4 linked regions of the Schizosaccharomyces pombe genome follow. Changing the gene in region 1 together with any one later gene gives a genetic interaction. Each region holds a gene or a part of one and is shown in the gene's direction. Other genes may lie near its edges. The genes, in order: SPOM_SPCC622.15C, qcr8, ngl1 and omh6.

Region 1 (8,116 bases):
CGCTTGTGCTAAATCGTATAAAAGAGACACGCAAGCTTATGGAGTGGACGTTTTGAAGTCTATGGATTACTGCTTATTTATAATTGATATTATTTCGTTTCTTGAACAAAGCTTCAGGTTGAATTAGAGGATCATCATTATTGTTGACTGAGAGTTCGGTTTTATTGGCATTTTGAAGAAAAAGTTAGACTCAAATCTAACGAGTTTGCCTGCTTTTTTTTGGATACTTATCATTTCTGTTATTATATGTAATGCTATATTACTAGTCACTAGCAGTTTTAAACTCATTTTTTTTTTCAAAGAACACAGCCATAGAATCTCCTTAGTTTGCATCGCAATTTTATAGTTACCTTTTTGCTAGTAAGCAATTAATTTTTGGGACTTTTAAGATGGATTCCTGGCTTGAATACGATGACATTATAAATCAAGACATTGATATTCCTAGCAATGACCTGAGTGGTTCAGGCACTCTCTGCGTTGGTGTACACTCTTCCCTTTTAGAAAACTCTTTAAACTCAATAGACTCGTTTATTTCTTCGAAAGAGGAAATTTCATGGTGCGGAAACCAGTCAACTCCTATTGCGACAAAATCACATTTATCCTGCATAAACCCTCAATACGTCAATCCTTTTGATACTTCACCTGTCTCGGTAGATACAGAATTTCAGGATACATATTTGCTTGATGCACCTTCCTTTGCACAGCCTCACTTCAGTGAGAGACAATCTGTAGACAAAACAAGATCACGATGCCTTAGTCGTAATCGTCGTCGAAAAAGACATCCCAATCTTCATAAAAACCATCAAAGATTACTTGGCATGTCTTTTCCACAAGACGGCTTTCGTCGTATGCCTGCCGAAAGTGTAAATTTTAGTTATTTTAGGGATACTGGATTTAATGAACCCACAATATTTCCTTCGTCTGATACACAAAATACGCGGCAACTAAATCTGAGTAAAATCGCTACTTTAATTGGTTATGATTGTCCGCTCGCCCTTGTGGATGTTGTGACACAAAAACAAATTCCAAATAAAATGGACATGGAAAGTTGGGTAAAGTACATGAGCCTCGAGCCCAGCAAACGTGGTCGAATATACGACGTCTTGAGCTTAGAGGTTTCTACAACAAAACTTGCCTATTACGTCCGGAAGCCTAACATCGTTCGTGATCTCGATTTGGTTAATACTGTCTGGCCTCCTGGTTCCTTTGCGTTGGGTGAGTATCCCCATGTTGATACTTACTGCTTAATGTCAGCGGAAAACTCGTATACTGAATTCCATATTGAATTTGGTGGATCCTCAGCTTACTACAATATTCTAGACGGATGTAAGATATTTTACCTTATTCCAGGAACATCTAAGAATTGGGAAGCTTATACAGCCTGGCTAACATCTTCAAATGACAGCGACAAAAAGTTTCTACCCAATATGGTTGATGTATGCTACTGCGTCGAAGTTCATTCGCAGCAAACAATTTTGGTTCCTTCAGGATGGATTTATGCCGTTGTGACACCTTGTGATACAATTTCTATTGCTGGTAATTTCTTAACGTTCCTTCATATCTATCCCCAGTTGTCAATCTACAATCTTGAGCTACAATTGGGAATTGAAAAAGAGTATCAGTATCCATATTTCGAGAGCATAATGTGGTACACAGCTATACATTTTTACCTTGCGTTCCCAGATAATTCGAGTCGTGATGGAATTGATGATATAATTGCTGAATATGAAACTGGTAGATTGTTTGATATCAATGCGTTTACAGAACAAGAATTGGATGGATTTGAAGAATTGCTTAATTATCTTTATATTCGTGCGCAGATTTTACGAGATTGCGATATAATTATAGACATTTATAATGAACCCGTAAAAATATCAAAAAATAATGGCTATAACTCAGCATATACGATGGTACCTCCGGATTTGGATGAGATTTGTGTTGACTTTGTACAAAAGTTTGGCGCCTGGATTACTTACCATCATAGACGTAGCGCTAAACACCCATCTTGCAATTGTTTTTCACACCTACAAACGAAGCTTATAGATTCGGGGCCTAAACCTGCAAATAACTCTTATCAGCATCAGTCTAATTTCATTGGCGTTGTGATTTCAACTAATCATAATATCATTAAGAAATGTCAAGAATCTCAAATACAAACAGGAAAGAATAATTGCTCTTTTCAGTTAGTAAAAAAGAGGATTAAGAGTACTAAAAAGGCACCCAGCTGGCGCTCGATAATTAAGGCTTTCAAGAAGCGAGAAAATACTAGGTGTAATTTTCTGTCAAGTTTACATGCAACTACGTTTCGTGAGGACATTGTCGTTCGTCCTAAAATCAAGTCATTCGTTCTCGAACAGTTGATCTTTCAGGCGTTGTTTTCATTTGCTATCAATTGGACACCAAGCTTCTTTTTGAATCACTCCAATTTTGAGAATATTGCGTTGAGTAAAGAAACGTTTAACTTTGGAGGTGAAGCCAATTGCGAAAATACGGACACCACATTATTTACTACTTGGGGCGATCAAGGTTTTAGACCAAGTGATTCTATTTGCTATAACGACTTTAATTTATTGGAAACGGCGAATTCTGATGCTGAAGCTTCAATACATGAACTCGAACTTCAACCGCTGAATGCAGTGAATGAAAGAGAGGTTGATATATCGCAAACCGACATGACTCCATCCACGGCGTTAGACACTAGGGTAGACACTAGGGTAGACTCTTTACCAGAATTTTCAAACTTGATACTTTCGCCCTCAAGCAATGACGACAGTTTTCAACTTGACGACTTGTTGTCCCCCTCTTCATCAAATCTCAAACAACAGATTCAAAAAGTCGTTCCTCAAAATTCCCTAGAATTTTCTGTTGGTGAGAAAGAAAAAAAGGCAGCCGAATATAGCCTGCTTCATACGTTTTCTTACAAACGACTCTCTATGGAAAATGAGAAACCAGATACTACAAAGGTACCTTTAAAATATAACATACAACATGAAGAAATGAAAGCGTATCGAAGAAAAAATGATTTAGAATATATAGATCAGCACTTTGCAAGCTCTAAGAGTGGAATTTCGAATGGGAGGAATAATAATAAAGAGGTCAACTTAACAAAAGCTGAAAATGTCGGCATCAAAAAACGTCGAATCATGAAAAATGAAAATAACATTTATGATTTTGAAGATCACTCTCCTGTTAGGGAAAAATGGGGGCACAGGCTTCGGTCCAGAGGTGCTAGTTAAAGTACCTCGGCACTTTTTATTTCCTTCGGCTACCATTGAATATTTATCCCCACGTGCTTATGATTCTTGAGTAGTTCACATTTTATGAGTATATCATGAAGGTTTCATCAAATAATTAAGACTCTTTTTTTTTCTATTAATTGGGTTTTTATTTATAAAACGATTAAGAGCATCAATCCACTTTGACTCGTTGTTTGCTTTTAAACTACGATCGTCCTAAAATGATTTATGGACTACATAACACACAATGGAGTCATTGAAAGCGTGGACATCCCCATGAAGCGGCGCAGGGACACTCAACCTGAACGGATTGTATCAAAGCCGGATACTACAACACACTTTTTAATATGAATGTCTCCTATTGGCGTCGTCTCGTCTACTTTATCCATCTCAGCTGATGCAACGACGCTTCAGGGTTTTCCATCCAAATCCCAATTTACCAGCCTTACTTTTTTATAATGTGCTAATATTGTTGAATTGTGCTCAAATATGTACATATACTACCCGATATAATGATTCTATAAATACTCTTTTTCTGTTTTTTTTTTTGGAACTCATATAAATAAATAATCCGGCGATCTAACTACAAGCCACGTTTCTATTAATCTAATCGGTCGTTTCATCTTTGAATATTATTTAATTAATTTATTTTCCTATTTTAATTGTTAATACTACTAGAAACAATGGTAATATTCTAGATTTCTATTATCTTAAGATTTCCGCATTGCAACCTGCTAAGTAATCTTATCAATGCGTTAGAACGCGTAATGTTATTTTACATTTTACGGTCCGCAAGCTAAAGCATGCACTATGTATTCATTGCCATACGCGAGCAATGTACCCGGCCTTAACAATACAGTAGACGGATATTGGAATTCAAGCGGAATTGAATATTTCTGCTTTGAATTGACTTAAAATAATGAATGAAGATGAAACTTCAATTTTAAATAAGAAAATGGAGAAAATTGAGGTAGAAATGGCGGAATTTGAACGATTGGGCGCTGAAAGAGAGAAGGAGGCGGTCGAAAGAATTGTTCAAGAGGAAAATCAAAATCCTGAAGTTCCATCGAACGATGACGCGTCCACAGATATTAAATCGCGAAAAGAAGGAAATATGAAAGTCACCGCCGAGGAAATTGGTTTGGAGACTGAGAACTTTGATGAGCTACCTGTAAGTAATGGATTTGGTGTAAGCCGACGAGAAACCCATTACGGTAACAACAGGACGTATTACAAAAATTCTCAAGGATATCGAAGAAAACCCAAGAGAGATGATTATAACAATAACCGAAAAAACTTTTATCCTCCTATACAAAATTCTACATATTTTATAAACGCTACCGGGGGAATTGACTCCATGCCATATTTTGGTTTAAATAATGCTCCCGGCAATATCTATCCCTTCTCAATGTATAAACCTTTGGAAGCGGATCCGCAGTATTTATCTGTTCCCTCATCCATGCCTTCCAGAAGGGAAGCTGGTATGGCTTATGGATATCAGAACTACAAACGAGGTGGTTATACTCCTAATACGCAGTATTTTGAGGAGCCTCTTAATAACACCTCTTTTCCTAATTCCCAAGGGAAAGAGGGAAAAAATTCGGGGTATCGTAAATCGTCAAGGATCCTCGATATCCGTGTAAAGTTTGGAAACTCTTCTATGAAAGCCATCAATTTTCAACCTAAAAAGAAAATTGTCCATGTCGTGCATAATCCCCGTCTCCATCAGAACAAAGTTCTTCGCGTCAGTATACCTGGATCCCAACCAGCACTGGTTACACCCAAACATAAAATGAATGTTCCTCCTATGGGAATGTATCCCTTACCTTTCTCCCCTTTACCTTCTGCAGCTCCGCCTATTCCTTTTTCCCCTAACGTCTCTTCCCATCCACATATGGCTTTTCTTCCAGCCACTGTACCAACTCATTCTGCTCCTCCTGGATTTGTCCCTTACGATTTTCCTATTACAAATGACAAAATGTATCCTTCACCCTCATTTCAAGAGGAATTTCCATCAACTTCAAAGTCCCCTTCGGCCACACCGGGATCTTCTAACGCTCCTGTTGTGGATATGCATCCTAGCGCTGATTCCGCTACGTACCCTACTTCCATATATCCCTCTAATGTACGTGCAAGAGATGATTCTCAGCAAGCTTATATTTCTGCGAATATGACTACCGGTGAAATGCCATCCATGACCAATGTTCCCGCTGGTAATGCACCTGCAGCACCGGGAACCATGTACACAACCCCTTTACCTACTGCCAATAGTCCGATTGCATATCAATCCTACTCTGTTATGCCGACTTACTGGTCGTTTCCTCAAAATTATGATTCCACCGTTCCCGCGGTCTATCCTTATATGCCTCCTCCATTTTCTGGCAGTGATATGAATGTAATGTCCAATCCTGCTGCCGATACTTTACGATCTTATTCACCTGCTAGTCAGGTCTCAACTCCCCCCTTCGGTTTCGTTTATTACTATGACCCAAATCAGTATTACGTACCAGTTAGTAACGAATCAGCCAATGCTACTAGCCAGCCGTTGTCTAACTTAGACACTGGAGGCAGTGCGCCTTATGACCATATTTGATGGGTCAATGACTTATTGTCTTTTGTTAGAATGATTTTTATCATTGAGCTTTTAAGCATTTTGATTTAATTATGTTATGACCAGCATTTTTGTTTTGGAAAATGACCGGCAATGCCTATATCCTCATATCTTCGTCTTTCCTGTTTTCTTTTAAAATCCACTCTACATACCGATTAGGCATCGTCGACTAAAAAAGAAAAAAGTCATTGGTTTTATTCAAGAAAGCACATGATCCGGTTATCTTCTTAAAATTTAGCCGGCATTCAACTTATGCTAATGAAAATAAAATATGTTATTATCATTTTTTTCATTGTTTTGAACTATAAGCCTAAAACGATGAAACTTTTGTAACAGAAATAAACAAGAAGACTCCGTCTTCAATATATACAAACTTTTTTTTTCAGTTCCCCATGTATTATACTTGAAGAAGCTTCAAATGTCAGATAATTCTAATGAAGTAGCAATATTTTTTTTATCGGTAGCGTTCTTCGTTTATGTTTTAGCTGACGAATGCTTGATAGACGAGGCACTCCTAACAGCAATGAAACATATCAAACTGCTTACGAGTTTAATAATAAAAAAGTCAATCGTGCTTATCGAAATTCTTTTTCGAATAGTCTTCAGGTGGAGGAGAGGCAGCGAGAGCTGAATAAGGAGAGTCGATTTCCGCATCATAAGTACCGCGGGTGTTTTGGGGGTTTTCGGAATATACATTTTCATCCAAAAAGGATTTAAGTTGTGTAAATGATTGCTTAGCACCTTCCTGAACGTTACTAGAGAAATTATTAATGGCATTCATGTAATCCTTCCTTGTTTCGGGATCTTGAACCTAAAAACAGAGTCAGTACAACAGAAACTTTATTTTTTGGATACAATAAAATGTTTGTACCTTTGTAATCCCTGGCTGAATATAGGACTTATTTACGTCTTGAATCTGTTGGGAAACAGATCTGGAGAACATGTTCCAACCATGACTAAGTGCAGAAACAGGATTAGATGATAATTGGTCCAAAAAAGAGCCACCGTTATTTCTAGCAGAAGAATTGGGATTAACAGAGTTAGAGCTTCCAAACCCTTGATAGCGACCTCCTTGTGAAGGGGGTAAATCATCAGGGCGTTGGGAATTAATGGAACCAAGCTTTGCAAAATATTTATCATTTGCTTCTTTTGAAACTGATGGAATAGTTGGAACAGTTGAAGATGAAGTTACAGAAGCATGAGAGGAAACGCTCTTAGGACGATCAACTTTGACCCATTCGACACCATCTACTTCGGCACGAATTTTTTGTCGTAGGTCCTCAGCAATGTCGGTATTGTACTTAAAATGTGTTAGTCAATGTGAATAAAATCAAAATAAGGTAAACTGGAAAAAATATAGAAGGTTCAAAGATCATACTTTTTCACGAATACTTCCGGCAGCAGAAAACATCGGGTCTGTAGACAAGAATGTTTTAGCATTAGAATTTCCACCAACCTGTATAGAAGTTAGTCAGGAGCATGCAACAAATGTGGGCTATATATGTTGTTTCAAGTCATTGATGAAATTATAGTGAGCTTGCATTTTATAACTTCAGGTGATAATCAATTGCGCGTCATGTACTTGTTTTTAACATTAAACATTATTCTTGTCAAAAAAAGGCACTAAATGACTTGGAAAAAATTCGAAATAGCGGCAAGCAAACTCGCAGATCAATAGCGCTACCCTCTCAGCCAAATGAATTATTATATATATATGTTTTTTTTTTGGTAAAATAACCAACAAACTCCAATAGCCCGTATCAATCCTGATGCTTACCTCCATCATCTTCACTTGACGTTCACTCCAATTGTCCATGGTAATACTGCGGACAAAGCTCTTTTCGACTCCCAAACCACGATGCTGTCCACTGCAATCCAAACAAATGAAGATTCCCAAATTACAAGATGCCCATTGTGGATTTGGAGCATCACAATCAAAACATTTCTTGTTTTCAGGAAGACGAGTGAGTTGGTCTAATTTATACGACATTTTTTATTAGATTATTTAAACAACCAACTCATTAATTGTAGTTTGTTCTAAGTGACTTTGAAATTTCGTTATTTTCATGTCTCACCATGGTGTGAGATTTTATGGAAGTGCGTAAGAAAACGTTAAAGATCTGGTGAAACGTATTCCAAGTATATAAAATCAAAACATGAAGGAAATAAATATGTCGTGCAGTTGAATGCATTTATGAGTTTCAACTTTTTCTTGTTTTTGATCCATACTGTTTAAAATACCAGCATCTAGTTTCTTGGAAAGCTTACG
Region 2 (6,759 bases), on another chromosome or scaffold:
CGCATCATCGGCAGAAGGGGGATCTAACTCTGCAGCATCTAGTTCTGAAGAAGAAGACTCTTCTGATTCGGAATATGAGATGGAGCTGAGAAGGCGGACACTTCTTCTTCCGCCAAAATTTACTAGTAAAGTCATCAAAAATCGGGCAAAAGCCAATGAAGAAGATACTGAGGTGCTTAAAAAAGTGACTTCACAAAAAATATTAGAAGAGACTATAAAACGGGAATTACTATTGAAAGAAACTAAAAACAATAATGAATTATTAAATGATATCGATGATACCGATGGAATTGATCCGCAAAGTGAATATGAATTATGGAAATTAAGGCATTTGCTTAGGAAAAAGAGAGACAAGGAAAAGTCACTGGAATTAGAAAGGGAAAAGATGGCAATTGAAGAAAGAAGATTAATGAATTCTGAGGAACGCGAAGCCCAAGATTTGAAGGACGCTGAAGCAAGTCGGAGAGGAAAGAAAAAGTCATCTATGCAGTTCTTACAAAAGTACTATCATAAGGGTGCATTCTATCAAAACGAAGATATTGTGAGTAAAAGAGATTATTCAGAAGCCACAGAAGGGGAAGTTCTTAATAAAGATTTATTACCCAAACCTATGCAAATTAGGGGAGATCTTTTTGCGAAGGCAGGCCAAACACGCTGGACGCATTTGGCAAATGAAGATACTACAAAAGAAGGATCTGCTTGGTATGATCCTAAAAACCCAATCTTGCAAAAAAATTTGCATCGTCTCGGTGGACTTCATTCTGACAGCCCACTCTCGAAGCGAAAACGTACCTAACATCTGTATATACATAAGGACAATTTTGTATTTCATTTAGCATTAATTTTATTTAACATCACATATATATTTAAATACAACATTCTTCTGAATTAATATCAAATGTGCACCACCCTTCCTCTTTGTAAGTGTTTAGCATAAGCATACCAATTCTTACCTTCCCGCAGTGCAAAGAGTACAACACATTTTTCGCCTTGGTCACCCATGTTACGAAGAGGTGCGCTTTCCACAATATTAAAAGGTTTAAACGGCCTTTCACTGCGTAGTCCCATACCGATTTGGCATGTTTCAGCTTCTCCCGAAGTTGGGTCGAAATATAACCTACCAACGGTTCCTACAACTTCACACGTTTCATATCGTCGTAAGTAAATTAAATACTTCTATTTCTAACTTCATTGCGTAGAAATCGCAAAAGCAAATTTCTTTGCTGGATATCGACCTTTGTCAGCTAATCAAATATGTGTGCCTAAAGTTGAGTCCAAAACACAAGTTTCGCAATCGCAGGATGAGGAAGATCAACCCCAGGAATATGTGTTATCTTTAGAGGATGGCTATTTGTATGCTCAATCATTCTCTGCATCTGGATCCGTAACTCAAACTCAACCCGCTCGTATATCTACTCAAGTATGGGAACAAATATGTGATAAGCTGATTTCTATTACACCTTTAGATTTGACCAGTGTCAAACGAAAAAGAAAATTGAAAATGAATAAACATAAGTTCAAAAAGCGCTTACGCCGACAACGAGCACTTAGGAAACGTCTAGGAAAATGAGATTATTAGAACTTATTTTTACTCGGGTTATATTTTTAGGTTGGTTGGATTGAGAGTTTAAGCTGTAAACAAGCATTTTCAAAATGGCTGCAAGCATTTATGAGTCTCTATTTTTAACTTGGATATCAGTACCTCTCTTTTCTTAAGAAACGTTTAATCATTTAATGTTTACTTCAGGCTTTTTTAACAAGGAATACATTTTCTCTCATGTATATTCTATCCTTTAATGTTCCGGTATGAGACAATTAGGTCGGTGCTTTTTTCTTGCGATAAAATCATTAAACAATCCGCGTTTATTTAACTATTTTCAAAAAGCGGAGCACTTATTTGTTTATGCCGGCTATCTCCTTCATATCAATTAGCTTCCCATGTCTAGTACTATTACAATACCTCCATCTTTGGCCCTTCCTTTTTATATTTTTAAATATTTGTCGATGGCTAGAATTAATGACATGTACACTTCATGTGAATCATAAATATGTTGTTGTATATCAAGCAATTAATAAACGCTTATTACACTGTATCTGTTTACACATAGAATAAAAGAACACATTGGTATGAAAAATAACTTTAGTAGTCGAAATTATTTCCTTAAAACAATTTTGAAAAAAAAAAAAAAAATTTCTACATTTCTTTCTTTAAAAAATGTTCTCACTGATTATAGCTAATTACAATAATGAAATGTAACGTACTGACGACTGACATAACAAATAACAACATAAGGAATATTGAAGAGCGTCCAACTGTATAATTTTTAAGGCTTTTGTTAATCTTGTCTTAACCGATCAAGTTATGCCAACATGCTTTCTAGAGAAGAGCAAAACCGGTGTTTCGTTCCTGTCCGACGAATTTTAGACAATGAAGACTTAAAATTATTTAAAGAAGGAGATGCTTATAAGTTAATTGATTCGTTTATTTGTGATCTTGACGAAGCTGTGAAAGACAAGCCTATTTCAGCTTCAATTCCGCAAAGCTCATCAATAGAGCATGTATTAAATATACTAGATCGAGTTGGAGAAATTAAACAGGAAAATCCTGCAATTGATAATATGGGGTCGAGGTTTGGCAATCCTGCATTTCAATCATTTTACGATCAGGTATACATTGAAACACCAAAGTTGCACCAAGTATTTGGAATTGAGCATAATGCGGCGATGGAGGCAGGTCGATATTTTTATGAAAGCTTTGGAAACAGAAAGCGAATAGATTATGGAAGTGGTCATGAACTTTACTTTATGTCATGGTTACTAATTTTAAAGCAACTAGGCATTTTTACTAAAAATGATTATCCAGCATTGGTCGTTCGAGTTTTTGTTAAGTATGTTGAATTGATGAGGTCTTTGCAAATTTTTTATACTCTCGAACCAGCAGGATCTCATGGTGTATGGGGATTAGATGATTTTCATTTCCTCCCTTTTTTGTTTGGTGCAGCTCAGTTGGTTAATCATAAATATTTGCGTCCCAAACATGTTAGAGATCCAGAAATTTTGGAGATGTGTCGCGCTGATTATATGTACTTAGGTTATGTTTACTTTTTAAATAAGTTGAAGCCTTCTGTTTCACTACGTTTCCATTCTCCAATGATTGACGATATTTCTGCCGTAAAGACTTGGTCTAAAGTCAACGAAGGCATGATAAAAATGTATAGAGCAGAAGTTTTGGGTAAACTTCCTATAATGCAGCACTATCTTTTTGGCCATTTAATCCCAGCTTCACCTGGGATGTCTCCTGCTCCCCAAGACGGTGATGATTCTGAGGTGACACATGTTCATTCTCATTATGCTGACTGTTGTGGCATCAAGATACCAAGTGCGATCTCTGCTGCCAAAAATAATGGAAGTAGGATTCCGTTTGATTAAAAATTCTCGAGGGAAAAAAGGCGTTTTTAACGAATCTTCACGAATTTATGCGATACCCATATTTGTCTGTTTACTTTAAAAGTAATATCTAAAGTCAATAAAATTACCAACAGTACAGCATATTTGTTTATTTCATTATGCTAAAAAAACTCTACATAAACAATCAACCCTAATTTTAGCAGCATTAATATAGCCATTTCATCAGCACAAAACCCAAAATAATTGTCGTTTTAAAAATAAGGTGACAAATCATAATTTTGAGTTCTGAAATAAAAAAATTTGGAAATATTTATTTTCGTTAAGAACCCAAATTTGTCAAAATCATAATGCGTGGAAAAGTACAACTTTTATATAACATCTCTTTAATTTTAAAGGGATAATAAGATAAAGCTGATATGTTTAGGGGAGCTCGAATAAACCTTATGAATTTGCTGCTAGAAGCAGATACATGGAATGAATTAAGGATTTACATTAAGAAGCAACCCAGAACCACTGGAACTTTGGGCATTAGAACCAGCTCCAAAGGGAAGATAAGTGACCTGTGCACCTTTATTAGCAAGTGCAGTAGCCACCTCTTTACTTGTCTCGAGACGACGAATTTGGATTAAAGCGCCACCGGCTTTATCAAGTGCTTTGGAAACAATATCAGCCGCTTCTGCTTCACCCTCAGCGCGAATAACATTAGCTTGTCGCTCTTGTTCGGATTGTTCTACTAAAAATCTAGCACGCTCGGCTTCTTGTTGAGCAATTTGTTTTCTCTCTACGGCTTTCGTAAATTCTTTTCCAAAAGTCATATGAGTAATGGATACATCTTCCAACCGAATTCCAAATTCGGTAGCTCGTTGAACTAGTTCTTGGCGAATTTTGGCAGAAACTACTTCTCTTTGAGTAATGAGCTCTGCTGCATCAAACTGAGCAACTACGGATTTTAAAATTTCGTTTCCAATAGAAGGTAAGACACGCTCATCATAATCTAAGCCTAAATTTTGGTAAATTTGAGGAAGCATTCCAACTTCGGGACGGTGTAATACACGCAATGTTAAAGAAACCATCTGTAAATCTTTACTACCCGTAGTAGTTGCGATATTTCGTGGACGTGTGCGTACATCATAAACAATTGCCTTTTGTAACCATGGAATCAAAAAGTGTGTGCCCTCCTGAACAACCTGTTTCTGCACACCCGACAGACGGTCAAACAAAACTGCTCTTTTTCCCCCCGGTACATCGTAAATCGAAGATTGTAATAGAGTAAATCCAATACCTATTGGTATTGCATAACGTGCAACTCTCTCCAGTACTACAGCCATCTCTTTAATAGTACGTTGAGCGCTGGACTAAAAGACCAAACTGAAAGGGAAGTCCGTTTGAGCAAGACTAAGTATGACTTAACTGCAACCTCTAGGAAAATCTATATTCATGATTAATAAATACATGATCTTATTATTTAGAATTTTAATAGTAAAACTAAATAAAAATCTTGAATAAAAAACCAAGAATTTGTAAACGTCTGAATTATTATTGGTCTAGCAGACCCGCACACTTACCCTTAACAAACATCTGACTTTGTAACGGCAATCATCAATATATTATTGTTTTAACAAAATGGGTGGTGCTGCTGGAGGAAAAACTTATTTGTAAGTGCAACTTAAAGCAGTTTCTGTTTATAATGGGTTATATGACTTTTCTTTGACGCTTATAGCGTGAGACGGTGGACACAATTGGTGTTTATTTCGTAAAGCCATTTTCGTCAGCGAAGTTATATACATTCAAATAGCTGCTGAGAATATCATTGAACGTTTTTATTTATACTAACACATGAATAGAGGATGGTGGGGCCATCTGTAAGTGCTATAACAATTTGATACATTTTTACTTACTTTAATAAGAGGTGGACCTAAACAAAAAGGAATCATAACATATTCCCTTTCCCCATTTCAACAGAGACCAATGGCCGGCTTCTTCAAAACTTCTACGCAAAATATGTTTCGTCGCGTCATGACTGAAGGTCTATACGTAGCAATTCCGTTTGGAATAGCTTACTATATTTACTGTTGGGGGAAGGAGCGTAATGAATTCCTCAATTCCAAACATGGAAGACACGTAAGTTAATGACTGAAGAATCGATAAGCAGCTATGGTTTGCAGCATTTTTCTATACTTCTAAATTGTGTCAATAATTGTCATTTTACTAATATGTGGTTTAGTTGGTGGAGGAATAATGATGAGAATGAAGTATTCATTTTGGTAGAAGGATTTACAAAATTCTTCCCTACCCTTTCCTTATTGGGTTTACAATTACTATCTCTCTCCTCTCATTATGCTTAGTATCAGAAATCTATATATCCAACAAAATTACTTTGTGATATGATCTATCTCTTGAATTTGAAAACATTATTACTCTTAGTTTTGACTTTCATTTGATTTTGTCTTATAAAAGACAAGTTGTAATGCTGAAACAGCGTCTTCTTCGCTATCGTGTGTAGAAGTTTGTATTGTTGTTCCCAGATATTTTTTAGTCAAATATTTTAAGGAATATCTAAACGGCGGGCCTCTGGCATGCGTAAATAGAAGAGCAGTATCTATGACACGTTTGTGAATAAGCCTCATCGCATTCAAATCGTTTTCTAAACCATGTCCTATTAAAATTGTATTTTTATTCATGCCAAGTTCCTTTATTTTAATATACATTTGATCCATGGTAATTCCTGATTCTAATTCTTTGGCATCATGTATCCCGCTAAATCGAGTATTGAGACTCAAAATTTTGCCTTTAGGCTTTATAAACACATCCATAATAATGCTTTCCTTTGCTACCACCGTCAAACGAGCCAATTCCATCCCGTTCGTAGTGTAGCATAGTTCACAATCTAACGCGCAATGACTTAATTGCTTGCTATTTGTACTGTCTGGTAAGTAGGAAAATGGATGAACGCTAGCAAGATACGGAAGATGTCGGTATTTGAACACATGGTTGTCTTCTATAATACAACCAGACGAATCGCCCTCTTTTACACCACAGCAAGTGTATGTACGAATCTTCTCCCCCCCTTGCTTTTCACGAAACAGTTTTCCCCAATGATATGTACATGGTCCTCGAGGATCCGCAAACCGTGTACCACATCGATCGCATTCACGAAGTTCATCTGGCGGGTTTACTGGTGCAACGTCTCCAATATTATATCCCCATAGAATCAATTCTTCTTCCGAATGAACAAGTGACTCAAGTTTCTCATCAGGAGTTGATCCTTGTATTTCATTTTTCTTCGGAGCTTTCTTAAGAGATAAAATTTTAGACTTGCAGGAGGAACTGTATATCATTTTACTGTTTGCA
Region 3 (7,464 bases), on another chromosome or scaffold:
GTCCAGTTTACAGCAAAAAGACCAGAAAAAGCGAAATAAATTAATTGCTTGGATGCGTAAAAAACCATGTTACGAGCAACCTGACGACTTTATTTCGTATATTGTAAATACAAAAATTGACTCAATCGATGAATCTATCATACACAAATTAGCTCTACTTCTCAGAAACGAGCAAGTAATGTATGTTTACATTTTGTGCAGCTACGTGAATCAAAGTGGTGATGCTTAAATTATCTTTTTTTTTGGCACTACTATTGTTTTGATTGAATGATAAATCATTCGTTTATTTTGAGGTTTTTCATACTAACTGCAATACAGATGGGTAGAGAAGTTTATACACAACGGCGGTTTCGGTGTAGTATTTTGTACAATCGACAAAATCTCTCGCCTTGAATGGAGAGAGGAACTGCACGATTCTATACTGGAGCAACTTTTACTTTGCGTTAAAGCCATGTGCACTGTTCAGGTATGCATGTGATATACATTTAGACCTATGTCTTCATTGCCTTTGACAATTGCTAACGTTTTTCCTAGCGCGGATTGGAATGTTTATCTCAATCCACTTATAATGTCGAGCGATTGATTTCCCTTTTGCTTTCAAAGAAACAGCCATGTGATTTTGTCGTAAGGGAAGTACTCGTTCAAATAGTTCACTCCTTTTACAAAGCTCATCTCGACAAAGAAGAAGGTGCAATGCAAGTTTTTTCCTTGTTTTCTATTAAAGACGATAAGGATGAAGAGGTTGAATTCTTAAAAAACGTTCGAGTTGATCGACCTTTTCGCCGTTGGATTATCGAACTTGAAGATGTTAGCCGTAATGTCTTCTGGGTGTGGAACCACGATTCTAATGTCATTGATTTGGAGAAACAATATAATCAAGTGTACGAGGCTCCATTGGGGTTTATTGGTGGTATAGAAACCGAAGCCACCAGCTATGTTGCAGCTCACATCCATCTTATTAATGAATTACTCGAAGGCTTACCTTTAGAGAAACGTCAAAGAAAACGTTTGGAACTCCAGCTAAGTGGATTAGAAAGAATCATGGGGTTACGGTTTCGAAAGAGCAGGTAAGCAATTTTTTTCAATATTTATATAAGCAGGCACTTACAAATCTAGTCAAAAATTCCATAAGAAGCTACATGAAGCCCTTCGTGAATGGATAGTGGCTGCTAAAATTGATGATTGGCCATACAAACTTGTGCAAACTGGATCAACCTAACTTTACCCTAATTTTCTATGCACTACAATCATCCTATGTATATAAAAGACACTAAACACCTTAATCATTTATCAAAATACGTCTTGTCATCTACTTTACCTAACCCAATATTGGAATACTCATCGTACATTATATATTAATCGCTTAATTTTTATTTATCAATTATGGGCAATAATAAAGGTAAATCCAGAAAAGTCGAGACTTTCGTCATTTACCAATTGCAATGCCCAAGAAACATTTTCTTTATTAAAATGCTTGGATTCCCCAAATACGTTTGTAAATTGTTGAAAAAACATTTCATCCAAGATTTCAAAGACTTCAACACCTTCTGGATTAGCAACGGCTGGATACCCTTCCACAAGCATACTAATTGAGAAAGGTAATTTTTCAGAAATAGATAAACAATATACACAAATCAATATCATTAAAATATCCTGCTCATCTGTAGCGACCAATGCTTCAGCATCGGTTGAACCATAGAGACTCTCAATGGCATGCGAAAGTGGTGCAAACAAAGGATGTTGCAAGAGGAAAATAGATATCGAATTAAGGATGAGATATTGCAAAAGGTTTGGAAGAGGTTTGTAAGTTTTTTGGAGTGATTCTTCCATATAATTTTTGACATAAGTGATGGAGTCTTGAAGAATATTAATCTGACTATCGCGATAAATTTTGGCCCAAACCTGCCTTTCAGAGGTCGGAGATACTTGCGGATTTGATTTTAACAAAAGGTCAGCTCTAGAGTCGATGTACATAAGTAAAACTTCCAAGGACTTAATCTGGCCTCGTAAAGAAGGGACATAAGAAGCTAGATCACCCGTCAACAAATGCGCTGTCAATTTTCGAAGTTCAAGAGAAGAGGCAGTTACAACTGCTAAACATTGAAGAATCTTTTGAAAAATTTCCTTATCTGGGGACTTTGGCAAAAAAAATACTAAATTGCTCAACTGAAATTGGCAATCATTCTCAAGAATGGCAGCTTTTTGATCTTTATGCGGTAAATCTGGATGAATAGCTACTTTTAAAGTCACTGTATCAAATGGGTTATCAGGTAAGCAAAACCCATAGCCCATTAGTAACTCTTCGTTGCCCTTTGGACCGTAATTATTAAACAGCTGGTTGCCTTTTGCAACCAACTCTTGGGAAATTAATTGAACAGATTTTTCATCTTGAAAATCACTATTCCACAAAATTGGCTGCTTTGGTTTATGATTCAGACTGTCAATGAGAGGAAGAAGAATGGGAGTAGACTCTGAATCCTTATATATTAGATTGGATGAAAAACATCTAGATGAGAAAACAGTGGCAGACCATATATACAAATCGAAGGTAAATCTTTCTGTAGGAGATGGGTGCAAACTTAATGCTTCTTGATACTCATGCTTCCAGATATGCAAACGCTCCTGAGCAGCAGAGTACGCATTTGTGGATATCAAAAAGGCGTTATCATTTTCGTTAAAATAAAGAGGGGTGTTGAATGTTTTAGGTAGATACTCAATGTACCCGTACCACTTACTTTGTATACCCTTCAAGCTCTCCAATGCTAAAAATGTACAAAGTGTTATATGAGGATTGCAACTCTCAAAATTTGGATTCAATTTTTTTAATTCCTCTTTCGCCTTGTTATATGTTATTGCATACTCAAAAGGGCAGGATATAAGTAATTGATCAGGTGCTATATCGTTTTGTGCAACAGCAATATAACTACCAAAACAAGCGTTATCGTCTCGACTTTGGATAAATTCGACAGATTTATGAAGCTTGCAGCCATTTTGCAAGGCTTCGTGTAGTAATTTCTCCATTAAAGTAGCGTTCGTATAAAAGAAGTAAATTAGAAAAAAAAAAAAATTGTAAAATTCCAATAATCAAACCATCAAAACTGATTTTTGCTTTTTAAAAATGAAAACAGACAAAAGAAAAGTGGAAGATAAATTATACCATAAAATTAAAAAGTGGTAGCAGAGTGCCGCCTGGCTTCGCCTATTGCTCAAAGGTAAGGATTGAAATACCCTGAAACCGCATTTGGGTGTTTCTCCCACAGTTTTTAATGCGGATAACCGCCATTTGTATTGTTACAAAAAACTGTATCGATGCTAATTAGTTTAAAACGCTTGTAGTAATTTGCAATTGATAACAATTTGAAGTCTTTATACTCATAATTAGACTACAGGAAAGCGTTGTCTTTTAGAATTTAGCGTATATTGTGATTCGTGAATACATTACCCTCATTTTTTGTAAATCAATCCAGTTTTACAAATACCTTCTTTAATTTTTTCTTTTTTTTTCTTTTTTTTTGTTTACAATCGTTAGCTATTTTCTTGAAAATAGGACATTTGCTGAAAATGGATTTTCATGCGATTTCTCAACGTTTCATTGATATGATGAGAAGCAAGAATTCCCAGAACGCTTCTCAGCCTCCAGAGACATATCCCTTTTATCATGAAGTACGTCAAATGTCACAACACCCGTGGATGTATGAAGACCCAGAGTTGCAGGATTATGCTCTTAGCATTTTACCACTTGACAAACTATTTCAAGATGCTTCTGAATTAGAAAAAGAGGGAGATGGATCTTGGGGTTACCAAGATTATGTGATTCAAGCCTTGTTAAAGTGGTTCAAGCGAGAATTCTTTGTTTGGGTTAATCAACCACCTTGCGAAAAATGTGGAGTATGTTTTATGATTGACGGTGTAGTCAATTTTTTGTTCTTTATCCGTACGATATAGAATATTGACAATGTGTAGGGTGAAACTCATATGACAGGCAACGGTCCCCCCAATGAGGAAGAAAAATGGAATGGAGTCCGCAACGTAGAGCTTTATCAATGCAATGTATGCGGGCATAATCAGAGATTTCCCAGGTATAATCGCATTCGAGCATTGCTTGATTCAAGGAAGGGAAGATGTGGAGAGTGGGCCAACGTGAGTTAAAAATATTTATAAATATATAAAGCTAACATTTTCTTAGTGTTTCACTTTCCTATGCAGAGCACTTGGATCTAGAGCTAGGTGGATTTGGAATGCTGAGGACCATGTGTGGACGGAAGTCTATAGTAATAAACAGCAACGCTGGGTGCATGTCGATAGTGGTGAAGAATCATTCGATGAACCTTTGATATACGAACAAGGTAGAGTTCTAACTCCTTGAAAAACTTGATTTCTAACAGCATTAGGTTGGGGAAAGAAGATGTCATATTGTTTGGGTTTTGGGAGTACGGAAAAGGTTTTAATTTTATTTGTTACTAATGCAAAAATAGTCGATAGTGTTCGCGATGTATCGCATAGATATATTCGTCACCCTGAGAATGGTCTTCCTCGTGATCGATGCCCCGAATCTGTCCTACAACAGGCTTTGCATGAGATTAATATTGAGTTTCGGTCCCGACTAACTGATTCTGAACGTAAGGCTCTAGAGGAGGAAGACAAACGTGAAAAAGATGAACTTGATGGTTATATGCGTCCTGTTTCCCAGGCCACGCCCACTAACACTGACCTGCCAGCAAGACAAACGGGGAATGTTGAATGGAAAGAGAAAAGAGGGGAAGCAGGAAAATGATTGTTTCATAAAGCTTTACGTTCCGTTTCTATTACCAAACATTTATTAGTTATGTTGTACATGAATCCTTTCTAGTTACTAGCTTTTTTTTTATGTAATCCTAATTAAATTTTTTTTTCATACATTAGTTAAACGACAGCAAGTGCATCGTAAACCAACTTTCGAATTTCAAAAAAGCGGTTGCTCAAACTGCCCTCAACGGATATTTTACCACCACTGAGTTTTCTTACGGCAACAGCTCCCCCACATAATAAAACACCTTCTCCTTTCAATTCAGCAGAAATTCCTTGATCTAAAAGTGCTTTACGGAGATAGGCAAGCCGAATATTACCTACCAAAAGTGGAGCAGCCCTGGGCGCTCTTGCCAAGTCTGATCTTAAAGTCAAGGCGTTAAGAACAGGAAGTGTCTCTTTCTCTTCTTTTTTCTCTTCATTCCTTTCTTTATCACCGTCCTTTTTCTCAACTTCTTCCTTTTTATCTTCTTCTTCAGAAGGTTTAGAGATCTCAACCTTAGCCAGCATATGTGAAACTTCGCAATTGCCAACTTTAGTCCAAATTAAATTTTTAATAAGATCATCTGCTAATTTAAGACTGAATGCATTAACATCGATACTAACATTAATGATTTCACCATAGTTGGGTATGTAAACGTCCTTGGTAAAAGCACTGAGAGAGGCGCACGTTTTCTTCATATCTTCTTTCTCTTCAGTTGAAGCATGAATAAGGACAAGTCTTCTAGGATTTACCTGTGGTATAATAGTTTTCAAAGAACGTCCATCATGCAGACCCTCAATATCTATGAACTGAACTTGACATGAAACTCGGATAGTTTTTTCATCTGTTATAATTTTAGAAGGAACTTCATCCTCATCCTCTTCTTCCTTTTTTTGTTGTAGACCATCGTTTATTTCGGACCATTTTCTTTTTCCGTTAGAATTAGATAAAGCATTATCATCTGAATCATTTTCCAATTCCAATGTGTTAGCAGGTTCGTTAATCATAGAAAAGTCTTGATGTTTGATAATTTCTCCATATTCATCTATCCTCCTTCTCTTCTCAATGTATGGAAACATTTTATACTTGGTATGTAAAGCTTGGACAGCAGGATCTCTCAAGTTCAAATCAAAAGACTTTCCCATTAGGAAAGCAGAAGATCCAAGAGCCACATGGGGAACTTCTGTATTCAAATCTAAGTCGTCATCTTCTGAAGAAGATGATGATGAAAGGTCTTCATCTAATATGGTTCTGTTACGAAATTCCAAAGCGGTATCTTCCGCATCTTTATTTCTCTTGCTGAACTCAAGTTCTTGATACGATCGCAATTCTTCCCCCTCCAAAGGTTCTTTCGTTTTTATCTTGACAGCTTGTTCAGCATACAAACCGACTGGATGAGGAATATCACGTTTCTTTTTACTAGCACGTTCCCAATACCTGATGAATTGGTTTGCAAGTGAGTTTTGAGGGCATCTGGATCTTTGTGTAAACAGTATTAAGTCATTTGAATTTTCAGACATCAAATCTAACAAAATTCGCTGAGAGAATCCGCATTCCAAAGTCAACGCGGTAGCGAGGATCACTTTGGGTCCGGGTCCTATGTGAGAAATCTGAGAAAAATCTGTAATCGTATTTATATTTCGAAACTCTAATAAGTTTTCGTTGATCCCAAAATCACGAACTATATTATCACCCATCCATTCAATCATACTTTTAGCATAGTCAATAGTTTTTGTTGATGTAGGGGAAAGGAATAATATAGGAAATGGTAGAGGCGGTTGACTAGCAGACCAATGGTTATCTAGAATACAACACAATTCTAATACCCTAGAAGCGGCATCTACAGGTAATAAAACAGTACCGCCCTTCAACAAAGAAGACATAACAGACTCTATGAAAGCTTCGTCACGCTTTTTACGGGAAGGGATAGATACGAGTGAATTGTTAGCATCAGTAATTAAAGTATTTGGTCGATTGAGAGCTTCTAATATATGGCCATTCGAATATAAGGCAGCGCCGTTTAGATGTTTATCTTTAGAATGGTTCCAGTCAACAGCGTACAGAACGCTTTCTGATTCTTTTATAAGACTCCACAAAGTTCCTCCCAAGGTATGTCCAGCATTATAAGCAGTAATGGTTAGCCCACTACATTTTCCTAAATCATGAATTAGTATAATCAAAAGTTCAAAAGACTTTTTTCACAAGAACAATTGCTTACCTAAAAGTAATGTGGGTTGTTGATATCTAAGAGGAATGATGCTGTCAAAAACAGCATCTACATCAGCTTTGCTCATGTCTGAAATATAGTTGGATTTTATTGCATCCAACATAGTCATCCGACCCATATTAATTGTTGGTAAAGTAGCATATATATACGCATTTTTCCAGTCATATTTATAATAAGCATAAACCAATCCTCCTATATGTGCTAAATCCGAATGAGATAAAAGGATTAAATCTGGTTGTTCGGGTACTTCCGGATGTTTTAATGAATCATCGCTGCCAGGGTCTATATAGATATGAATTCCATCTAACTCAATATGAGATGTTCCACAATAGGAGTCTGTCTCTAAACATTGATAGTTGAGCATGGTTATTGCCCAAAGACAGGACTTTACAACTCGATGGTAGTAAACAGTGGGGGTTGGATGGCTATCAGAAAGAATATATCCAAGCGATACTATAATATGAAAACT
Region 4 (8,377 bases), on another chromosome or scaffold:
GTTTCAATGGAGTTTCCTGACATACGCCGTGCAAAGGTGTTTTGTGATTTAGACCTTGGTATGGATAGATACATCATAAGAATTAAAGTTTTTACTAATTATTAACAATATAGAATTTTGCGCTCAACAGGAAATATATGATCATCCAAAGGTAGTAGTTCTAAAAAATGGTATGTGGATGCGACACGTTCTTGAAAAAAATCAAATTACGACAAAATCCGCGCGACAATTTGTAAAAAGCCATTTGGGTAATTGTGATTTGGAGCAAGCTGAAAATGAAACAGATTGTTTCAGTGACGATGGTGAGTATAATAGTGATTCCAGTAGCACAGATCCTGCTTTTGAACTGAAAGAAGACCAATCGTGGAAACACTCGAGTATTTTGAGGCCTTTGGAGACATTGAACTTTAAAAGGTTTCTTTTTGGAAATGAAATTATGTCTAAAACTCGTGCATTCGTTATGTTTGTTTCATTGAAGCACTGTGAAGATTGCTTTCATTGGGAAGCTGTTTGGTCAAGCATTACTCGTAATACCGACGAGCGATTAAAAATGGCGCAAGTTAATTGCGACGAAGAAAAGGAGATGTGTAATCATTTCCATATTAAAAAGTTTCCTACCTTCAGGGTGTTTCAGGGGTTCGATTCCATACAATATAATGGACCTCTCAAGTATCAACAGCTGCTATCCTATTCAAACCAAGTGGCAAGTTACCAAGCAATAAAGATCGAAGAAGGGGACATTGAATCAATCGAAAACTCTCACCCAGTTTTCTTTCTGGTGCTTTACGATTTTGCAACTACTTCAGAAGATTTCAGTATCATTGAACGTCTGAAATTACAGCTTGCTGGTGTTGCTCCATTATACATTTGTAATTCGAAGGCGCTCGCGAATAAATATGGGGCACAGTCTCAGCCTAGCATTATTGCTGTTCGCAATGGAATGCCAATAGTTTATCAGGCAATTACACCCCGTGAGTTTCGAGATTATAAACGAATTACTGAGTGGATTAACATAGTTTCCTCCCCTTTTATTACAGAGCTAACCCCGACAAAATGCCACAGTCTGCTGAATCGAAAGCTTACTGTTTTGACCTTACTTCAGCCAGATTCTGAACAGTTTTTTTCAAGTCAAGAAGAATTGTTGCGGCTTGGAAAGAGATGGTTTCGATTTCAAATGCAACGACAAAGAAATGATATAGTTTGGAGTAGAATTAAGAAATATAGTGCGATAGCTGAAGCTAAAAAGAAAGGGTTCGCGAGGAAAGTGAAGCGAATTAAGTACTCGAAGATATCACATCCTACTTATACTGAGTCAGTTTCATTTTTATGGTTAGATTCTTCTTTATGGTTGGATTGGATTGTGGAAAATTTGGACCATACTGTTTATGTAGATTCTATCACACCACCAGTGTTTGTGATAGATCACTCGAAAGGCGTAATCTATGTGAGTGACAGAAACGGCAACTCACTTACGTTAGAAGAAGATTCTCTATTTTCCACATTAAGGATTATATTAGAGCACCCTAACTCATCTCGTCTTCAAAAACTGCGTGCACCGGGCCTATGTCCAAACGGTAGCCCCAATTACAGGAATAGATACAAACTTATAGTTTTTAATTTGCTCATTGCTTTACTAATATTGAGCATCCTGACAATTATTTCAGCTAGCAGGCTTTCCCGTCGGCGTCGACAACTGCTGAACAAGCAACCAGTTTTTGGTTTTTATCATTCGCTTGTAATTGCCAAATCAGACTGAAATGTTGACAATTCAACGACCTAGTAAACGATGAAAAGGAGCGAAAGGTTTTTTTTATATACTCTCTTAGGGTAGCATTTCTAAATCATTTATTGCTAATACACTTGTGATGTTGCTACAAACAGCCCACAAAACTGATTGTTAAAAACTTTGTAGTCCATTTAATTTGACAAGGACTTATACACGAAAACAAAGTACCTCAAAATATGACGAGAATATTATCATTAAAAATTCAGTTTAAGTATACAAAATACCATACTGGCAACCTACCTCAAACGGTCAAGCTGTACAAACGAAAACTACATCGACAGGTCAGCCTGTTTCTCATCAAAACATCACAACGCCCATTTTTATTTGTTCATTAACAGCGAATTGGAAGTTTAAAAAATTCAGTTTTAAATGACAAAGTAAAATTGTAATAAAATAATTAATCGTATTCATACACATGATTAAACTATCATAAAAGAAGAACTACCCAAATGAAAAATGTCAACTGTATGGTTTTACCCAACTGCAAGGATCCAGAGATCATGTAGCGAAAGATTTAGGAATATACAGTTGTCAGAGGATCAACCAATTCCTCTCCAAAGGAGAAGGATCAGGATCACTCCAATCGTTTTAGAATCTGTTGGCTAGGCTACGCAGCATCCTTTAGTCAATTTTCATGGCAAGACGCCAACTCTCAACCTGCAGTCGAAACTGCAAGGACAATCGCCGCCCTGTCTGTACTCTTGTCAACCTCTACACGCCAACCATGTTACACGCAAGATTCTCGAAAGAATCTGAACAATGTAACTTCAGATTCATGATAGGTTATAACGAAGTGCAAACGAGACTTTATATAGTTTGTTGAAAATTACAACCCTAACCCTAGTGACTGTTTTACCCTTAGTAGTCTAGGAATTTTGGTGTTTCCAGAAAGCAAAAAAAAAGGCTCGTTAAAATAAGATTGTGCATTATGAACAACCACAGTATATAATTTGATCGAAAGTAGTGAATTAGTTTGCAGATATTGGGAAAATGTCTTAAGATACATATGCCACTTGGGTTTATGAAATATTATTTTATAACATTTTACTGAGTTTGTATTCTAGAACAGCTGAAGCTTTCCTATACTTAAACTTATTGCTTTTGTTTACATTCATCAGCAACAATGAATTGTTTAATAGACATTAAAAACCATTATAAAAGACGAATGCAAATTTTATAATTCCTTTGATAGAACTTAAATATTCCAACAGTAATAACAGCTCGACATAGCGACTATCAGTACGCTTATGCAAATGTCATTTATAAGATTATGCTCGTTAGCAGATTCTTTCAGTGATCTACCCATCAAACATTGTATACAAAAATTGATTTGCTAAAAATAAATATTTATACTCAAAGAGCTCTCTTTTCTAAGGTCAAATCTCTAGCAGGGTATTAACATTTGCCCTTAACCATTGTCTTAGGCAATTTCAGTTAAATTCCTTCAAATCCACTTTCTATGCGTTACTTTTGGAGTCATACGTTAGTTGAACTAGTTACTTCTCATAACAGGGAAAGTTCTGCTCGTGTTTAAGCTTCATTATGTTTTACGAACTTTTACTTTCCATACTACCAATTGTATTTACCTGGTTGAATGGATTCTCTGTAAATGAACCCAACAATGTATATGTGATTCTTAATGAACCTCAAAGCTCCAATTTGAGTGCTTCTTTTCTGATGTTTACCGCGTACGGTGCCATTTGAGATGTACTTTCTAATTCTGTTTTCTAGTAATGCTGAACTTGGGGAAGTGTTGCGCACGATGCGTAGCGTAGAGGATAGATTTAATAAGAGGTTTCATTATCCTTGGACGTTTTACGGCATGGATGAGTTTACGGAATACTTTATGAGTACGACAAGCACGATTGCGTCTGGTCATTGTGAATACGGTACGAAGGGAATAACTTATACCAATCATTTACAATTTATTCTAACTATCTCTTACTTAGTGCATTGGGATCTTTCTCAAGTAAAACCCCTAGTTGAAAACAATCGACTTTATCAACAACGAGCAGATGCACTTGCTCAAGAGAATCTATCTTACGTATACTCTCCTTTGTTTCACAGTTTTCAAGATTGGGTAGTTCGATCTTTATTATATCATCCTCAATTGGAATACGATTATGTTTGGAGAATAGAACCCGGGCTCAAATTGGTTTGTGAAGAAAAAAAGTAAGAAACTCGGTAAAACTTGTTTATTTCGTTCTTCTTTTTCAGGAAACCTAACTAATATTTTTGTTCAGAGATATATTTTCTACTTTCAAAGACAGCGACATTGTATTTACAAACCACGTCTGTGAACGTAAACACTCTGGTATATATGCTATGGAAGAGGCAATTGAAGAATACAAAATTTTAAACACTCAAGGAGATTTCAGCAATATCTGGGTTTATAGTAACAACTACACCTATTGTAAATACTGGCCTTTTAATGAAATTTTATCTCTAAAGCAAATTCGGCATAATCAGACCTACACCAACCTAATTAATTACTTGCTTGGTTCAGGAGGAACATATTATCATCGCTGGAGTAAGTAAATTGCTTCTTCAATTTTGGAAATGACTTTATTTAACCTGTTTCTAATATAAATGCTTCACGTTGTACTTTTTGCTGACATTTATTTAGCCGAGTCTGATATCCTTTCAGCAGCATTTGGTGTTTTAAGAGCGCGTGCTAATCATATGGAATCAGTGGGATTTTTCTTAAACGATGATGTTCATTATTGCCCAGAAACTATTCCATACACAGGAAGATGTGCATGTTTGTGATATTAATTGATGAATGAGCTTTACAGAAAATTTTTGTTCATACGAATTTGTTTTATGAAAGTTATTGTAATATGTGCATTTTCATTTACAAACGTTGAGACACTTGAAGTGAAAAATTAATCTGGTAGTGGTAAAATTATAGCGTTGTCTTTCCGTTTTTCAATCCTAATCAATAAATATGTATATATCATGTGTTTATTCTTCATCATTTTGCCTTGGTTTTATAAGTCCATCGGTGATCTTGTAATATACTATCGTTGAGTCAGAACACATGATTCCCAGGTATAGGAAAAACTCATCTCCAGAAAGACCTCGAGCATCCTTTACAAGTGGAAGGCTCAGTTTCTTCATAGAATCGAAAACAGAGGACAGAAACTCGATCGAAATTGTCTCTTGGAGGTAAAGCGGCAGAACATATTGCAATTTGTCTTTGAGCTGTCCATTTACGGGAATCCCTGAGAGTAAAGGCCTTTTTGTTTTTAAGTCAATATCAAGAACATGTACCTTTAATTCACACCAACGTTGACCGAGCCTTAAGTCGGTTTCCACTGCTCTCAGTATTCCATAGTATGGATTTTGCTTTTGCTCTTCTACAGCATCGTTAGGGAGAAATGTATTATGTTGCATGTGTATTTGTTTATAATAAATATATCTTTACTTTTGAGAAGGAAAATTTTGTTGAAAAAATGAATTATCGCCTCCGTGATAAAACTTTTAACTTCAACCAAATGGCACAGAAAAGGAACAAGCAGTCAAAAAAGCCTAAACAGACTTCAAAAGGAGTTAAGAAATCCTCAAAACAAAACAAAAACTCCTCTAAAAACAACAAATACCAACAAAACGTCCTTTTACAGAGTATTGATGATTACAACACTACGCAGAGCGTACTAAGAAGTGCTCATAATAGCGGTTCGAAGATGAGCGATATATCCAATTCGATCCAGCTTCTTTCCATGACCAAAAAGCAGGAGAATTAATTCCTGAGCTATTTTCGTTTCATGGTTCATTTCGCAGTTTTGGCATTGGCCATTGTCTGAACTTATAATGTTTTTACTGGGTTTCGGGTTTACTTTTAAAATTTTCTTGTTTTTATTTTGCATACTTAATTTTTATGAAATTTTATTTTATTATACTTGTATTATTTGTAAATAATTGTGGTTTGTATCTAATTGTGTTAGTAGTAGTTTCTGATTTTTTACAATAAGAACGCACAAATCCTATTCCTAGAACTACATTCCACCTGCCCTCAACCTAAACCTACTGTTGGGTCATAGAATCGAAGTCGAACGTAGTGTTTGAATTTTTTAACTATCACTTCGTTTACATAATACATTTGTGTAAAAATTGAAGGGTTTCTAACTTTTTGACTAAGGGAGATACCTAAATTTTGGAAAGAATTGTTTATTAGAAAACTGCTTCATTTTTTTTGTATAATCAGGCCTAAAAAGAAAAAAAAATCTTTTTTCCTCACTAATATCTTTACTTAGTTAGCATTATGTCTGCTCAAAAGTTGAATTTGGAGGATGTTAATGCTTCTACAAAAAAATATTCTAGAGGGCGCAAGCTGAATCCAAAGAAAATCAAGGATAAAAAGCTTCGAAGCAATATTCAGAAAATCGAGGAGAGAATTGAGAATGTTGAGTCTTCCTTGGCGAAAACCGAAATCTTACATGAAGATAATCCCGGTCTTTTGGAAGCCGAGGGCCTTGAAAGGACATACAAGTTTCGTCAAGATCAACTGGCTCCTAATGTTGCACTTGAGACGGCTACAAAGTCTTTCTCCTTGGATTTGGATAAGTTTGGTGGTTACTCATTTGATTATACAAGAGATGGAAGAATGATTTTATTAGGTGGAAGAAAAGGTCATATTTCCGCGTTTGACTGGCGTACTGGTAAATTACTCACAGAGCTACATTTAAGAGAGACCGTTCGAGATGTTAAATGGTTTCATAACCATCAATATTTTGCTGTTGCACAAAAGAAGTATGTTTACGTTTACGATAATATGGGAACAGAAATTCACTGTTTGAAGCGGCATATCGAAGTGAATGCTCTAGATTTTTTGCCATATCACTTACTATTGACCAGTATTGGCAATGCTGGCTATTTGAAATACCAAGATGTCTCTACTGGACAATTGGTTGCAGAACACCGTACCGGAATGGGTGCTAGCCATGTATTACATCAAAATCCCCATAACGCTGTTGAACATGTTGGTCATGCAAATGGCCAGGTTACCCTCTGGTCTCCATCTTCAACTACACCTCTTGTCAAAATGCTTACTCATCGCGGGCCTGTACGTGATTTGGCAGTAAATCGTGATGGCAGATATATGGTTACCGCTGGTGCCGATAGTTTACTGAAAGTTTGGGACCTTCGAACTTACAAAGAGCTTCACTCCTATTACACCCCTACACCTGCTCAGCGCTTAACCCTCAGTGACCGGGGATTGCTAGCCGTTGGATGGGGACCACATGCTACGATTTGGAAAGATGCCTTACGAACTAAACAAAATTTTCCATACATGAATCATCTGCTTCCCTCTTCATCCGTTGTTGATCTTCATTATTGTCCGTATGAGGATATTTTAGGTATCGGACATGCAAAGGGATTCGAAAGCATCATTGTTCCTGGATCTGGTGAACCCAATTATGATTCATATGAAAACGATCCTTTTGCTTCTCGAAAACAACGTCAAGAAACTGAAGTTCGCCAACTTTTGGAGAAGCTTCGCCCAGAAATGATTTCTTTGAATGCTGATTTTATCGGTAATGTTGATAGAGCTGCACCGTCGCTTCGAAAGGCTGAAGCCGAGGAAGAAAAGCCGCCTGAAGAAAAATGGGTACCAAAGGCAAAAGCCCGTGGTAAAAACTCTGCTTTACGAAGATATTTACGCAAACATGCCAGAAACGTTGTTGACCAACGTCGTCTCAAAGTTGAAAAATCTTTAGAGATAGAGAAAAAAATGCGTGCTCAGCGTGTTCGTCGCGAGCAAAAACTTCCAGAGGAACGGGAAAAATGGGGATATGCTTTATCAAGATTTGTTTCCAAAAAATAATTCGGTTGTGTATAATACTTGGGCTAATAATAAGAATATTTGCATTAGATTTTGCCAATTACATATGACTATGTGATGTATAAGGTATTTAGGGTTACGGATTTATTGTATTAAATATGTCTCACAAAAAAAATAAAATGCCTATTTGAAAAATTGTACATTGTGCAAGCATATATAAATGTAAAACAAGGATCATCCTAACCCTCTCTTTGTTTCCATTTGTAGACAACAAGTTGAAAGATCAAACCAGTAAATCCTATAATATTAGCAAACAAAAGTTGCAATCATTCTCGTCAAGTTGACCATATATATAGCTTAATTCCACAAAATAAAAAACAATTTAAATAAAAATGTTATATAATGTAAAAAAGGTTCTTAAAAAAAAACAAATATGAATACGAACGTTACTGACATTGGAAAACCCATGCATTCGAAAAGCCAATGAAAGTGTTTTTTCACTTACTTCAAGGCACGTGATTGAAAACTTAAACCAAACAAAACTAAGTTAAGTCATCTTCAGCTTCTTGTATACTGCTCTTAATCTTCAGTAAAATCGTAGTTTTCCAAGAATCCAACTTCGACAATTGATCATAGGTAAAAACTTTGTCAGCGAACATGTTAGCATCCGAGGCTTCGATGGTATCTTGTAAATCTTTAAGCAACTGATATTCACGGGTGGAGGCAAAAGACGGGTCAATTTCTAAAAAGTGTTCCAAAGCTCTACGAGTAGCAATTTCATCCCCATTAGCCATATAACACAACCC

The links.
Region 2: mutations in SPOM_SPCC622.15C (region 1) and qcr8 together harm fitness less than expected from each alone (positive genetic interaction), as found in Schizosaccharomyces pombe (one large-scale study listed by BioGRID).
Region 3: mutations in SPOM_SPCC622.15C (region 1) and ngl1 together harm fitness less than expected from each alone (positive genetic interaction), as found in Schizosaccharomyces pombe (one large-scale study listed by BioGRID).
Region 4: mutations in SPOM_SPCC622.15C (region 1) and omh6 together harm fitness more than expected from each alone (negative genetic interaction), as found in Schizosaccharomyces pombe (one large-scale study listed by BioGRID).

The regions. Positions count from the first base shown.
Region 1 is NC_003421.2:1,426,819-1,434,934, reverse strand, and holds SPOM_SPCC622.15C (uncharacterized protein), read left to right. Parts: upstream 1-4,085; 5' UTR 4,086-4,155; coding exon 4,156-5,829; 3' UTR 5,830-6,192; downstream 6,193-8,116. Other genes in the region: Jmjc domain-containing protein Epe1, read left to right, coding at 390-3,236; SPOM_SPCC622.14 (GTPase-activating protein), read right to left, coding at 6,413-6,658, 6,719-7,147, 7,226-7,303, 7,625-7,837.
Region 2 is NC_003424.3:4,762,079-4,768,837, forward strand, and holds qcr8 (ubiquinol-cytochrome-c reductase complex subunit 7), read left to right. Parts: upstream 1-4,977; 5' UTR 4,978-5,031; coding exon 5,032-5,063; intron 5,064-5,252; coding exon 5,253-5,270; intron 5,271-5,315; coding exon 5,316-5,529; intron 5,530-5,632; coding exon 5,633-5,647; 3' UTR 5,648-5,828; downstream 5,829-6,759. Other genes in the region: splicing-associated factor Saf3, read left to right, coding at 1-796; cox24 (mitochondrial 37S ribosomal protein mS38 ), read left to right, coding at 1,001-1,157, 1,200-1,570; ypa2 (serine/threonine-protein phosphatase 2A activator 2), read left to right, coding at 2,371-3,429; prohibitin Phb1, read right to left, coding at 3,888-4,736; exonuclease Rex3, read right to left, coding at 5,829-6,759.
Region 3 is NC_003423.3:1,123,067-1,130,530, forward strand, and holds ngl1 (peptide N-glycanase), read left to right. Parts: upstream 1-3,405; 5' UTR 3,406-3,561; coding exon 3,562-3,888; intron 3,889-3,963; coding exon 3,964-4,140; intron 4,141-4,186; coding exon 4,187-4,346; intron 4,347-4,391; coding exon 4,392-4,430; intron 4,431-4,475; coding exon 4,476-4,774; 3' UTR 4,775-4,902; downstream 4,903-7,464. Other genes in the region: GTPase-binding protein Rid1, read left to right, coding at 1-180, 319-466, 535-1,067, 1,117-1,219; ribosomal lysine methyltransferase Set10, read right to left, coding at 1,378-3,021; mRNA processing protein Cft2, read right to left, coding at 4,903-6,923, 6,987-7,359.
Region 4 is NC_003424.3:3,389,064-3,397,440, reverse strand, and holds omh6 (alpha-1,2-mannosyltransferase Omh6), read left to right. Parts: upstream 1-3,196; 5' UTR 3,197-3,491; coding exon 3,492-3,958; exon of another isoform or gene 3,959-4,029; coding exon 4,030-4,316; intron 4,317-4,334; exon of another isoform or gene 4,335-4,412; coding exon 4,413-4,555; 3' UTR 4,556-4,750; coding exon of another isoform or gene 4,751-5,532; 3' UTR 5,533-5,691; downstream 5,692-8,377. Other genes in the region: pdi4 (protein disulfide isomerase), read left to right, coding at 1-58, 114-1,756; tRNA-splicing endonuclease subunit Sen15, read right to left, coding at 4,751-5,182; SPOM_SPAC959.11 (uncharacterized protein), read left to right, coding at 5,167-5,532; U3 snoRNP-associated protein Utp7, read left to right, coding at 6,051-7,613; sec17 (alpha SNAP), read right to left, coding at 8,114-8,377. UniProt on the Schizosaccharomyces pombe protein: Probable mannosyltransferase involved in O-glycosylation of cell wall and secreted proteins.